3 linked regions of the Canis lupus familiaris genome follow. The protein of the gene in region 1 binds, or shares a complex with, the protein of each later gene. Links are inferred from orthologs where the notes say so. Each region holds a gene or a part of one and is shown in the gene's direction. Other genes may lie near its edges.

Region 1 (4,251 bases):
ACTCCGTGCTAGCTGGAACAGGTCCTCTCCAAAATATAGACTGGATAGGGCTCTCTGAATTCCCCAGAAACTCAGACCTCATCCACAGTCTAATCTGCTCTTTGACCGGTGCCCCCACCTCCAACAGATACTGCTGGGAGCCCATGAGTGGAATTTCAAGGTCATATTGGAGTTTCCTTGGAATGAAGAATGGAGGGCCAGCACGGCTGAAATATAGTGGAGGCAGGTCCTGCCAGAGGAACTGAGCCCACCACCTCAGGCTTGTGTTTGTCCCCTTAAGCTTTGCTCCCGCTGCATCCCAGGGATCTGGCCCCTTTCCGGTCCCCTCTCCTGGGAACCTGACCCTCCCCCCCATGGCTGCTCCACCTGCACTGGGAGCAAACAGGGAGGGCCAGTGTGTCGGTGAGGGTGGGCGAGGGTGGGCGCTGCCTGGAGACCATGAGAGCCAGCCGCCCCCTTTCCTCTTGTGCCCAGGGCTGGGCCGGGATTGGAACCAAGCCCCACCATCAGCGCCCCCCCTCCCCCGTTCATTCTAAGCTGTTCTCACTGCTACCCAGGCGGCCCTGACCCCCAAGTCAGACTCTTCCTCCGCGCAGCCTTTTTGCGAGCCAAGATTGCCCGAGGACAAGTGCTGCCCGCCAACACCCCCGCACACACCCCGCCCCGCCGGCGTCCTTGCCCCGGGGCGGAGGGTTCCTTGGGAGCCTGGGTGTTGCGCCCCAAGATAGGAGGCGGAGGGTGTGGGGGCAGATGCAGGGGCAGATGCAGGGGCCGCCCCAGCCCCTTGCGAAGAGATTCAGGGAACTATGAGAGCGATAGTGTCACGGTCACTGGGGCCACTGCGGCACAGGACAGTAACCCGCGGCTGATGCCACCGTGTTAAGTGCCACCTCCACGTCCCCTGACCCACCAGGGGGAAATGCCGGATCCCACGGCAGCCGCGCCCTAACTCCTCTTACCCTCTCCCCCCCCCGCACCTCCCTCTCCGCCACCCCTCCATCCACCCGTAACCCCCACCGCTACCCTCGCCCATACACGCGCGCACACACACACGCACGCACACACACGCACACACACGCACACACACGCACACTCCCAAGAATTCCACCGAGGGACGGTGGCGAAGGGGAGTGGGCGGGAAGGAAATCTCTAGGAGAAAACCGGGGAGCCCGGGGAGGGGGCGAGCCTGAAGGCCATCGGGGGGCGGGGAGCGCGAGTCCCGAGCGTGGGAGGGGGGCGGGGAGTCACCTGGCGGGACCGCGGCGGCCGAGCCCGGCGGGGAGGCGAGCCTAGGCGGGGCGCGCAGAGGAGGAGCGGCGGGGCAGGGGCCAGGGCTGGGGGCGGGGACCAGGCGGGGCGGGAGCCTCCGCCCGAGCCGCGGCGCGAGCAGGTGGAGCCGCAGCGGGAGCCCGCCCGGCCGAGCGGAGGGAGGCGGTGGCTGGGCCGGGGCCATGGAGCTGCTAAAGCTGAACCGGAGCGCGCAGGGGTCCGGAGCCGGGCCGGGGGCTTCCCTGTGCCGCGCGGGGGGCGCCCTCCTCAACAGCAGCGGTGCGGGCAATCTCAGCTGCGAGCCGCCTCGCCTCCGCGGAGCCGGGACACGAGGTGGGTGCCCCCCTAAACCCCCTCCGCCAGCTCCTTCTCGCTGCACCCCACACCGGTAGAGGCCCCCACTGCCTCCCCGGACGCCTACACCATCCCCTCAGTACTCCCTCGGTCCCCAAACAGCCCCCCCGACACTTCTGCCCCCCCCCACCCCCCCGCCCGTGCCCTCCCCAGCTCATTAAAAACTCCATCACAGCTTCACACCACCTGATGGGAGCCCCCTCACACCCGGGGCTCCCGGCCGCACCCAACACAGAGCCCCCTTCTAGGCACAGACGGTCAGGGGGCAAGGACCTCCTCTTCCCTCCAGGTCTCTCTTCCTTTTAAATCCAGTTCACAGAGCCACAATGGGGAAGGAAAGAAAAGAAAAGAAGGCAAGACTGGGGAAAGAAGAGGGTTGGAGGAGGGAGGGAGCACTCTGGAAGGCTTAAATGGGAAGTCAGTTATAATCTCCTGTGTCCCCCACCCCAACCCCCAGCCTCACCAGAAGAGAGCCTCAAACCTGAGTTAGGCTGGACATGGGGGGCTGCTCCCTAGAGCTGCCTGTCTCCATTTCACTCCTCAAATCCTCCAGCCTCCCAAGGTGGAATTCTAATCAAGACTCTGTCCCCTCTCTCTTCTGTCTCCCAGGCCCTTCCAAGGCCCCTCTCCAACCTGCCTCTCTTTAGGTCTCATCTTCTTACAGCCTGGCTTGGCCCTTCATCTCCTATCCATTGTGCCACCATCTCTTCCCCACCCCCAGTGGTTCCACTTACTCAGTCCCCAAAATGACTTTCACTCCTCCCACGGGCCAACAGCCGCATTTTGTTGATAACCCAGCTCACAATATATGTTTTCCCTTCCTAAACCTTTTCTTTCCTTAAATGTCTCCTGAACACCTGCTGTTGTAGTTGAGCAAGTGCTGGGGACATAGGGATGAAACAGACCCAGTCTAGACCCTCTTCTGTCCACAGTCAAGTGCAAAGGGAGACAAACCAGTGAGAAAATAACAACGTGAGAAGTCCCAGGAGAGGGTCTGAATTGTGGGCATCCAAAGGAGATGGAAACCAAGAACTTCATAGACGAGGTGAACCTGGGAGCTCGGTCTTGAAGTCAGCCTCCTGAGAAGTAACTGAATAAAAATTAAAAAGATGAAGGAAAGCCAAACAAGTGAAGGGGCAGGAATGGCATAAAATAAAATAAAATAAAATAAAATAAAATAAAATAAAATAAATAAAAAACCAGCATTCTAAGCCGAGGAACAATATGATTAAGTGCCCAAAGTTTAAATCTATGGCACTTTCGTTCGCTGTGTCAGTTTCTGAGTGCCTGAAACATACAGTATAAGAGAGGGAAAATGAGCACTCGGGATGAAGACCAGAGTTTATGGTCTAGAGGGTTTATGAAGAGCCTCATAGACCAGGCTAAGGAGTGGGGATTTTTTTTTAAAGATTTTATTTATTTATTTGAGAGAATGAGCACGAGCCAGGGGGAGGAGCAAAGGGAGAGGGAGAAGCAGACTCCCCTCTGAGTAGGGAGCCAGTGCTACCAACCTGGGGCTCAATCCCAAGACCCTGGGATCATGACCTGAACTGAAAGCAGATACTTAACCCACTGAGTTGCCAAGGTACCCCAGGAGTGTGGATTTTTTATTATGAGGGTAATGGCAACTACTGAAAGGCTCCACAGTACAGCCAGGATTAGTTCTATAGTGTAGAGGATGGACTGGAGTACAAGATAGGAAAGGTGGGGGCTTGGGACGCCTGGGTGGCTCAGTGGTTAATCGCCTGCCTTCAACCCAGGGCGTGATCCTGGAGTCCTAGGATCGAATCCTGTATCGGACTCCCTGCATGGAGCCTGCCTCTCTCTGCCTGTGTCTCTGCCTCTCTTTCTCTGTCTCTCATGAATAAATTAATAAAAATCTTTTTAAAAAATGAAAGTGGGGGCTGGGGGGACACTTTAGAAGGCTACTATATTACTCTGGTGAAAGATGATGGGGGCTTAGACTAAGGTATTCACAGTGGGGATGGAGAGAAGTGGGTGGATTTGAGAAGCACTTCTGGAAGGAATCAACAGAATTTGGTGATTCATTGGAAATGGAGAGGGAGGAAGAGGTCAGGGGATGACATCTAGGTCTCTGGCTTGGACAAATAGATTAATGTTGGTGCTATATCATGAAGAAAACAAAGGAACAGAAACAAGTTTGAAGGAGAAGATTATAAATTCAGCTTGGAACCCACTGAGTTTAAATGCTGGTGAGATGCCCAGGTGTGGTTAACCAGTGAACTGTTGAATCTGGTCAGGATCTTAGGGGAGAGGTATCAGCTGAAAATACAGATTTAAAATGTCTTTGCCTACAGGAGTTAATGGAAGCCACGGGAATAGATAAAATCATACAAAGATTATATAGGATAAAAAGAAAAGAGGTCCTGGGGCAGAACCCCAAAGGAAATTGATATTTTTTTTCAAGATTTTATTTATTTATTCATGAGAGACACAGAGAGAGAGAGAGAGAGAGAGAGAGAGAGAGAGGCAGAGACACAGGCAGAGGGAGAAGCAGGCTCCATGCAGGGAGTCTGACGTGGGACTTGATCCCAGGTCTCCAGGATCAGACCCTGGGCCAAAGGTGGCACTAAACCGCTGAGCCACCCGGGCTGCCCAGGAGATTGA
Region 2 (3,928 bases), on another chromosome or scaffold:
TAATTCTCAGCAAGGCTGGCTGTGAGCGTGGGTACCACTGCCCCTTATCCAGACCCAAGGGGCATCAGAACTCCCCCAGACAAGGAGGGGCCCTGATGACACATGAACAAGAGCAAAATCTCTAATGCCAACCATGGAAAAATCAAAAGCAGCCTAGAACTAGTTACATCTGTCCAAACCAGGCCAAGGTGGCAATTTATCAAAGAAGTCAACAAGCTTACTGTCTGGTGCTCTGGCACATCTTGGGCAAACCCTTTAGCCTCTTTGCTAACCACTTTAAGACATATTTTTTTTAAGGATTTTATTTATCTATTCATGAGAAAACACAGAGAGAGGCAGAGACATAGGCAGAGGGAGAAGCCGGATCCCTCTGGGGAGCCTAATTCAGGACTCAATCCCAGGACCACAGGATCATGACCTGAGCCAAAGGCAGATGCTCAACCACTGAGCCACCCAGGTGCCCCTAAGATGTATTTTTATATTGAAAAGTGGTGAATGAGTTATTCAGATTGCTATCTCCCTTGAAAACCAAAGGAGGGAGCCTCCAAGTACAGCCGCCTGAAGGAATCAGCCCTGAGTAGGGGGGTTGCAAGAGGCTGGGGGTAAAGGGCAGACCTGTGATGGAGGGGAGCTGCAAGCCAAACCCAGCCAGCACTAAGGCACAAGGAGTGGGGAGTGTTCAGGGATTTCCAGGCAAGGGTGGTGAAGAGGCAACCAGCTGCAGCCCCGGGCAGAGAAAATGGGGCCATCAGCCCATGCCCCATTGCCCCTGATAACTACCTCACGCACTGTTTGCAGAGCCCAGCAGAAGGGACAGGGGATCAATACAGCACTCCACAACCACACACTCCCTGCTCTTCAAACATCAATGTATGATGAAATATGCTTCCTCTGAATCCAAGGTCACTCGGTGCATCTGCCTCACCTGCCCTCCAATGGGACAGAGTCAGAGGACTGATGCGTCCCAGGACTCTGACCCCAACGACTGGGTGGGGGGCACTGTTCCTGATCCCAGGGAGCCCCTGGGGTCCTGCCTGCCCTCATGTCCAGCTGAAGAACTGCTCCAACCCTGCACCTACTCCTCACTGCCATGAAGGTCAACTCCCTTCCCTTCCCACATGTGGATGACTGACTGAATGATGGGGTAGGGCAGGGGTGACGTACCTGTGCCCACCCCCTTTTGTCTTGCTATAGCGGAGGCTGGCCTCATGGGGGTCTGGGAGGGGCCCTGAGAGCTTTATAAGGCAGCGCTGGAGCACCCAGCAGAGCAGAGAACGGAAAGACACCAGGCCAGCTACAGCATCGCCCACCTCCCAGCTCTGCAGGTGAGAGAACCCAGGAGGGGATTATAAAGGCGGGGAAGAGGGTTGATGGGAGGACTCCCTGCATCAAGGTACCAGGCTCACGCCTCCGTGTCTCCAGGGCTGCCACCCTTCTCTTAGCTCGAGGCCATACTAGGTCTCAGCTCTAGAACCCACCCTGGCATTCCTAACCCTTTTCCTTTGAGCTGACCTGATGCTTCAACCCTCCTACTTCACGCTCACCCCAGGTCTGCAAGGTGAGAAGGACAAAGGCTATTCTCTCATCTCTCGGGTGAAAAATCTGAGGCCCTGAAGGAGATGTGACTTGTCCAAAGTCACACAAATTATTTGGCAGGATTGGAACTAGAACCCAGGGCTTCTGGATCCCATCTCAAGCTCTTTCTTAGACCAGCACTGTCTGAAATAACTTTCCATGAGGAGGGGATCTGTATCTGCACCATCCAATATGGTAGCCACCAGCCACAGGTGCACTGGAAAGGTGGCTCTCCTGGGGGAGAAAATTTTAATATTAATTAATTTACATGTAAAGAGCCACATGGGGCCAGTAGCTACCACATTGGACAATACATGTGGCTAGAATGGGCCTGTGTGGCTTTGATCACTGACCGTTCAATCGTGTATCTTTAGCATCAAGAACCCAAAGGAAATCTAACAGAGAACCTCACTGTGAAAAACAGATAAAAATAGTATTTTATTCATATAAGTGTGTTCCTGGAAGGTAACATTTTTATATTTTGCTTCTGATAAAGCCCATCCATATAATGAGGATGAAAGAACACAAATGCAGAGAATGGAATTTTAGAGTCATTTGAATACCCAGTTTATCTCTGTATTATGGCTTCCCCAAACTCAGGTCACCCTGACACACAGGTGCAAACGGCAACAGCTTCATTTTTAACTGCTTGATTATAATCGCAAGATATTCCTCAGTTAAGCAAAATTGGCAAGCTAAGTTTCCCTCCTCGGGCGGCACAGAAACGGTGTGACCCGACCAGATAGTGAATATGCTGGTGGCCTCCAAAGAGATACCCTGCAGTCTGTAATGTGCACTTTGGTGTTACTGTTTAAAAGCTCACTTCAGGGGCACCTGTGTGGCTCAGTCAGTTAAGTGTCTGCCTTCAGCTTAGGTCATGATCCAGGGGTCCTGAATCAAGTCCCACATCGGGCTCTCTGTTCAGTAGGGAGCCTGCTTCTCCCTCTCCTGTTCCCCCTGTTTGTGTGCTCTCGCTCTTTCTCTCTGTCAAATAAATAAAATCTTTTTTAAAAAACAAAAATAAATAAAAGCTCACTTTAAACTACAAACGTAAATATCTACAGAGCCACTCACATGGCCTTGAATTTTGCAGAAGTTGCTCCAGGTTGTAAATTCCTCTGAGAGAAGCTGCTGCTGTAATTAAGGTAGGTGAGGAGGGAAGGGGCCAGGCCTGGGAGTAGGAGTGCCTGGCAGGAACTGGAGAAGCAAAATGAGGAACAGTCCACAACCCCACACAGCGGCATACGTGCCAGCAGAGTCCATCTGGTCCAGGCCCCTGGATGGACAGGGGTGCCCCGTACGGCCCGGCTTTCAGCTCTGCCCCTCTTTCCTTTGCAGACAAGATGCAGCGACTGTGTGTGTATGTACTGATCTTGGCACTGGCTCTGGCCACCTTCTCTGAAGCTTCTTGGAAGCCCCGCTCCCGGCTGCAAGATGCACCCTCGGGTCCAGGAGCAAATAGGGGTCTGGAGCCACATGGGCTGGACCAACTGGGCCCAGCCTCTCACCACCGAAGGCAGCTAGGGCTCCAGGGTCCCCCACAGCTGGTGGCAGGTAGGAACCAGGACAGCCGCCTCTGTTTGCCTCACCCAGCCAGGGTTGGCCCTGGCCTTGGTTTGGCAGCTAACCATCCTTCCCGTATCCTCACATCCTCTTCCTCCTCTGACCCTCAGACCTGTCCAAGAAGCAGGGACCGTGGATGGAAGAAGAAGAAGCAGCATACGGATGGATGGACTTCGGCCGCCGCAGTGCTGAGGAAGGGGACCAACGTCCCTAGGACAGAGCTTCAAAGCCCAGCTATCTCCCAGCCCCGCCCAGCCCCATGAAAAACCAATCAAAATAAACTAGCTTCCAATGGATCACCTTGTGTCAAGTGTGGGGCAGGAGAGGGGAGTTGGTGGGGCCAGGGTTGAGACTGAGCACTTTCCTCCTAGCCAGCCTAACACTGACCACAAATCTAGTCACACAGGTGAAAAATGGTGATGGGGTCGCAACCAGAGTCAGCTTTCCTTTTCACTTTTTAATATTTTACTTATTTATTTATTTGGGGGGGGGAGCAGTGGGGAGGGGTAGAGGGAGAGAGAGACGCAGACTCCCCGCTGAGCAGGGAGACCGAGGCCGGACTCTATTCCAAGACTCTGGGATCATGACCTTAGCCAAAGGCAGATGCTTAATGGACTGAGCCACCCAGGTGCCCCAGAGTCAGCTTTCTAAAAGATAAATCAAATTGTGCCACCCCAGGTTTTAACCCTCCAATGCTTCCTGTTGCATTTAGAATAAAACCTAAACTTGCCAGAGCCCTAAGCCCAGCCCTGTTGTCCTCAGGGCAGGTGCCATGTTCCTCCTCTCTCCC
Region 3 (4,125 bases), on another chromosome or scaffold:
CCTGGAGGAACCACTGGAGGACTTACAGGCCAATGGCTCCCCAACAAGGGAGCCATTCAGATAGGGATCCATAGACCCTCCAGGGAGAGCAGACGGCCTGAGGATTTGGAGCTGAGACAAGATGTGTGGCCCGGTGGTAAGGAGGGAGTTTATGCTGAACAGGGGGCTGTGGGTGGCCAGCTCCCTTCCTGGCTTTGTAGACCTTCTTGGTCTTTGGGCTGGGGCGTCCTCGCCTCATGGTAGTGGGGCCACACAGGACATATTTCTCTGTAACCCTTGGCAGACCTTTCACTGGAAGTCCATTAGAGGTCAGGGCTCCCTTCCTGAAGAGGATCAGAAAGACTGCAATGTTCTGCTAGAAACGCTGCTGGCCTCCGTCCACCTTTGCCCAGCCATAGGGGTGCAGCCACTGTCCAGTGGGGACAGGTCATAGGATCAGCGCCACTCATCTATCCAGAAATCAGGTAGACCTTTCTTTTCCCCACCCCCCACCTCTCTCTCTCTGGGCCTGGTTGCCATGTCCCAGGCTAGAGTCCCGGATGACTACAGGCAGGAGGATGCTTCCCAGATCGATGAAGGATATTTAAAGATTTGGGTGAGGAGAGGAGGCACCCGGCTGAGGGAGACAGCTGGGCAAAGGTGTAGAAGTGGCAGCAGACATTTTTTAAGCTGCAAACCGAGAGAGAAGAGGTCAAACCCGCCTTAAGACAGAGAAAGCCGAAGTTTAGAGAGGCTCCGGGGCTCTGAAGATCCCGAAACAAGTTTATTGGGTTCATTAACTTTAACAGGACGAAGACACGCCTCCTCCACCCCGCTAGCCCAACTTGCTTAAGCTCGAGGGTTGGTTTCTGCCCAGCCAGCGAGGTGCCCCGGATCCCCACCCTCGGGCTACAAGATCCGCCCGCCCCCGCCGTCGGGCCGCGGAGCGCCGAGCGCTCGGCACCCAATCGGAGCCCAGCCCCGCCCGCAGCTCGCCCCGAGCCCAATCCCTCTGGGCTTGGCTCCGCGCCTGCCCCTCTTCCTCCGCGCGGCTCCGCCTTCAGCCCGGGCCCGGGTCTGGGCGGGGCCTAACTGCCATTCGCTCCGCCCTCGAGCCAATCAGCGGCCCCGGTTCTCCCCTGGCCCCGCCTTCGGGCCCGCCCCGGCCCAGTCCCGGGCCTGGCCTGCTCCGGCCCCACCCTCGGCCCGCCCCGCCGTCGGTGCGCGGCGGCCGGGAAGGCGCCGCCCGCAGACGCTCGGAACTGCCGACCCGAGAGCTACTCGTAGAGGCCCGGCGGCGGGAGCCGTGTGGGTCGGGCGGGGCCGAGCCGGGCCGGGGGCCGTGCGGGGGCCGGGCGGCGGCCGGGCCGGCGGACGGCGGGATGGGCTGCACCGTGAGTGCCGAGGACAAGGCGGCGGCCGAACGCTCCAAGATGATCGACAAGAACCTGCGGGAAGACGGGGAGAAGGCGGCGCGGGAGGTGAAGTTGCTGCTTTTGGGTGAGGCCGCGCCCTGCTCTGGGACCCCCGATTCCCCGCCCGAATCCCCAGACGAGGACTTTGACCTCCAGACTAAGGGCCTTCAAGTCCTGACCTCACCCCCTATACCTGGACTTGAACTCCCAGACCCCGCCTGGCCAGGACACCCAAATAATGGTTCAAAACTCTGGGTTGGCCTAGATCTCTGATCGGAAGCCCAGACTGTAGATCAGACCCTCAACTCGCAGACGCCTAACCCCCAGACCCAGAACCTGCTTGACCATCGACCCTTGCTGACCAACCTCACAGACCCTCAGAGTCCCCCTGCCTTGTCCTTCCATCCTTCTCTAGACTTTACTCAAAAACCCAGAACCCCACTTGCCCCCACTCTCAGGCACCACCTGTTTCCCCCACCTGCTCACCTTGTTCCTATTGGGCATAAATATCCATGGGGCCCCTGCCAGCCCCCACCTCCCTCCTTCCCGCTCTTTGCCCCATCCCTACTCTGAACCCTGTATCCTCCACCTGTGCACCCTGACTCCAGGGTACTTCTTCAGTGGAAACTGTGATTGCCCATGAGCCCTCTCTCCTGCCAGAACCCCTAAACCTTTAGATACTCCTCCCTCCATCTGGCCCACCAGGTCGCTCTCTGCACACAGTACTACTCAAACCCCCTGCTTCTCCTCCCCTAAGTCCTTTCCCCACACTTTGGCCTTCCAGATTCCCCCACCCCTCCTGCACCGGTGGGCTGGGCCGGGCCCGGCGGGGTGGTGGGGGCCCAGACTCAGGGGCTGGACTGAGGCTCCACTGGTTGCGCTGGGGGAGGGAATCGGGCCTCAAGCTTCGCGGGGAGATTCCTCCCGCTGGCCGTTTCCCAGTTTCTAAGCCCCATCTGGGCCGGTGAGGGGGGCGTCTGGGGAGTAGGAGGGAGTGAGTATGGAGGAGTTTGGGTTGCGGCGCCTCCAAGGCCAGGGAAGATGGTGGCGGCTTGAGGGGTGGGGGGAAGTGGAAGTGGTGAGACAGCCGACATATTGCTGCCCCGGCGGGCGGGCCGAGGAGATATGTTGACGGGTGCTGGGCTTCCCGCACCCTTTCTGGGCCGAAAGGCCAAAGACTTGGCCTCCGGGAGTCAGGGGGCCTGTCAGATCCTGAGGCCCTGTAAGGGGGAAGTGGCGGACCAGCTAGATGAGGACTTGGGGGCCAGATGGAGTTGGGAGGCATCTGAGGTGGACTTTCACGAAGACTGTGGGCCTGGAAGCTGTCCCTAAGCGGCCTCCCGCCGGGAGCAGGTGCGGTGCCCGGTGGCAGCCTGATTCGGGGGCTTTGGGGTTGGGGGAGAGGTGCCCTCGCAGCAGCTCTGGAGGCTGGACAGTGTCTGTGGGGGGGTGTGGCCCCTCAGCCTCAGAGCCGCGGTGGGGTCCCCGGGCTGTGAACAGCAGAGCCTCCTTGCTGGGGGCCTGGCCGAGGGACAGTGTGTCTCCCATCTGAGCCCATCTGTTGACTGTCCCTGGGGGCCTGGCCTCAGGGGCACAGCCCAGAGGTTTCAAAATGGCATCCGTTCCGCCGCCGCTGCGGGTAGGAAGAGAAGGGGCGGGAAGGGGCGGCGGCCCAGCCTCCTGGGCTGTTTTGCGTTGGGCGCTTGCCTCTTCCTGTCTTTGCTGCGAGTGCGGCAGCACCAGTGAGTGGGTGTCGCCAAGGTGGAGGGCCCGTTGCCGCTGCCCACTGGGCCTGGGTAGGGTCCTTCTGGTATCGCTGTCCCCTGGTGCCCACCCAGGGGCCTCTGGCTGGCCCCTTCTCGGGCTGATGGGCTGAGGAGACGTGGGACTGGGCCATAGGGCCGTGACACAGAGGGCTCCTGGCCCTCTGTGCACCAACCCCATTCCACTAGTCTTGTTCCTTGGAGCTCAGCTCAGGTTTTGGGCCTGGCATCCCCTCCCACACTGGCCCGGCAGCAAGCAGGGGTGCAGGGTCTGGCTCAGCATTTTCTAGGCTGAGGAGTCCACCTCAGCATCCTGCTCCCCCTCTGGCCTTTGCTTCTTCTGTTGAATGGGCTTCCTGGGTTGGGGCCAAAGAGCGCTGGGCCCAGGATGGAGGGAATAGGGGCCCCGTGGAGGTTCCTGTTGGGGGTAGGGGATGGGAACTAAGTAAGGCCTTGCAGAGGGTATACAGCAAGGGGCTGAGAGACCTACCTCTGCCTGAAACTGCCAATCTGCCATGGCTGCCTGGGTAAGGGTCCTGGCTGGCCCATCCAGGTACCGGGAGGTGATGGGAGCCCAGCTGGGGCAGCTTCAGAGTGCTGGGTGCCTGTCCCATGTAGCGGGAAGAATTCTGTCCAGGCAACGGGACTCTTAGGTTGGGCAATTGCCAGCCTTCCCTTCCAGCCAGAACCACGCCTGCTGCCCCACCCGCATCCTGGCTCCTTGCCCTCCTGGGTAGCCCTGCTGGCGGATGGGCACCGGGGGCAGAGGCAGATGTGGTACATGCCATGAGAGTGTTTTTCCTGGAGCTTGGTCGAGAGGGGCAGAGCTGCTGATACCAGCCCTACTTCTGGGACACCCCCACCACCACCACCTAGTTCAACCTGACTGACCAACAGTTCCCAGGTGGGATGTGGGGCCTTGGCTTTGTGTTTTGGGGGAATGTCTCTGATTTGGGATGGGCTGGTGT

What was found. The genes of interacting proteins can lie anywhere in the genome.
Region 2: the proteins of CCKBR (region 1) and GAST are in contact, whole or in part, in a cryo-EM structure (PDB 7XOW), measured with the Homo sapiens proteins. The link is inferred for Canis lupus familiaris from reciprocal best matches to the Homo sapiens genes CCKBR and GAST. Residues at the interface, in NP_795344.1 of Homo sapiens: Cys107, Pro114, Asn115, Gly118, Thr119, Phe120, Met134, Gly135, Val138, Tyr189, Gln204, Cys205, His207, Leu222, Val349, Tyr350, Ala352, Asn353, Arg356, Pro361, Ala363, His364, Leu367, Ser368, Ile372, His376, Tyr380; in NP_000796.1 of Homo sapiens: Glu85, Ala86, Tyr87, Gly88, Trp89, Met90, Asp91, Phe92.
Region 3: the proteins of CCKBR (region 1) and GNAI2 are in contact, whole or in part, in a cryo-EM structure (PDB 7F8V), measured with the Homo sapiens proteins. The link is inferred for Canis lupus familiaris from reciprocal best matches to the Homo sapiens genes CCKBR and GNAI2. Residues at the interface, in NP_795344.1 of Homo sapiens: Thr87, Thr89, Arg152, Ala155, Ile156, Pro159, Leu160, Ala162, Arg163, Val164, Thr167, Ser169, Ile241, Gly248, Leu249, Lys328, Val331, Leu335, His394, Arg396; in NP_002061.1 of Homo sapiens: Glu28, Ala31, Arg32, Glu33, Val34, Lys193, Leu195, Thr220, Phe337, Thr341, Asp342, Ile344, Ile345, Asn348, Leu349, Lys350, Asp351, Cys352, Gly353, Leu354, Phe355.

The regions. Positions count from the first base shown.
Region 1 is NC_049242.1:30,102,086-30,106,336, forward strand, and holds the start of CCKBR (gastrin/cholecystokinin type B receptor), read left to right. Parts: upstream 1-1,451; coding exon 1,452-1,602; intron 1,603-2,555; exon of another isoform or gene 2,556-2,668; intron 2,669-4,251. UniProt on the Homo sapiens protein: Receptor for gastrin and cholecystokinin. The CCK-B receptors occur throughout the central nervous system where they modulate anxiety, analgesia, arousal, and neuroleptic activity.
Region 2 is NC_049230.1:20,957,940-20,961,867, reverse strand, and holds GAST (gastrin), read left to right. Parts: upstream 1-1,128; 5' UTR 1,129-1,325; intron 1,326-2,913; 5' UTR 2,914-2,918; coding exon 2,919-3,129; intron 3,130-3,248; coding exon 3,249-3,352; 3' UTR 3,353-3,434; downstream 3,435-3,928. UniProt on the Homo sapiens protein: Gastrin stimulates the stomach mucosa to produce and secrete hydrochloric acid and the pancreas to secrete its digestive enzymes. It also stimulates smooth muscle contraction and increases blood circulation and water secretion in the stomach and intestine.
Region 3 is NC_049241.1:39,499,361-39,503,485, reverse strand, and holds the start of GNAI2 (guanine nucleotide-binding protein G(i) subunit alpha-2), read left to right. Parts: upstream 1-1,325; 5' UTR 1,326-1,361; coding exon 1,362-1,479; intron 1,480-1,486; exon of another isoform or gene 1,487-4,061; intron 4,062-4,125. UniProt on the Homo sapiens protein: Guanine nucleotide-binding proteins (G proteins) are involved as modulators or transducers in various transmembrane signaling systems.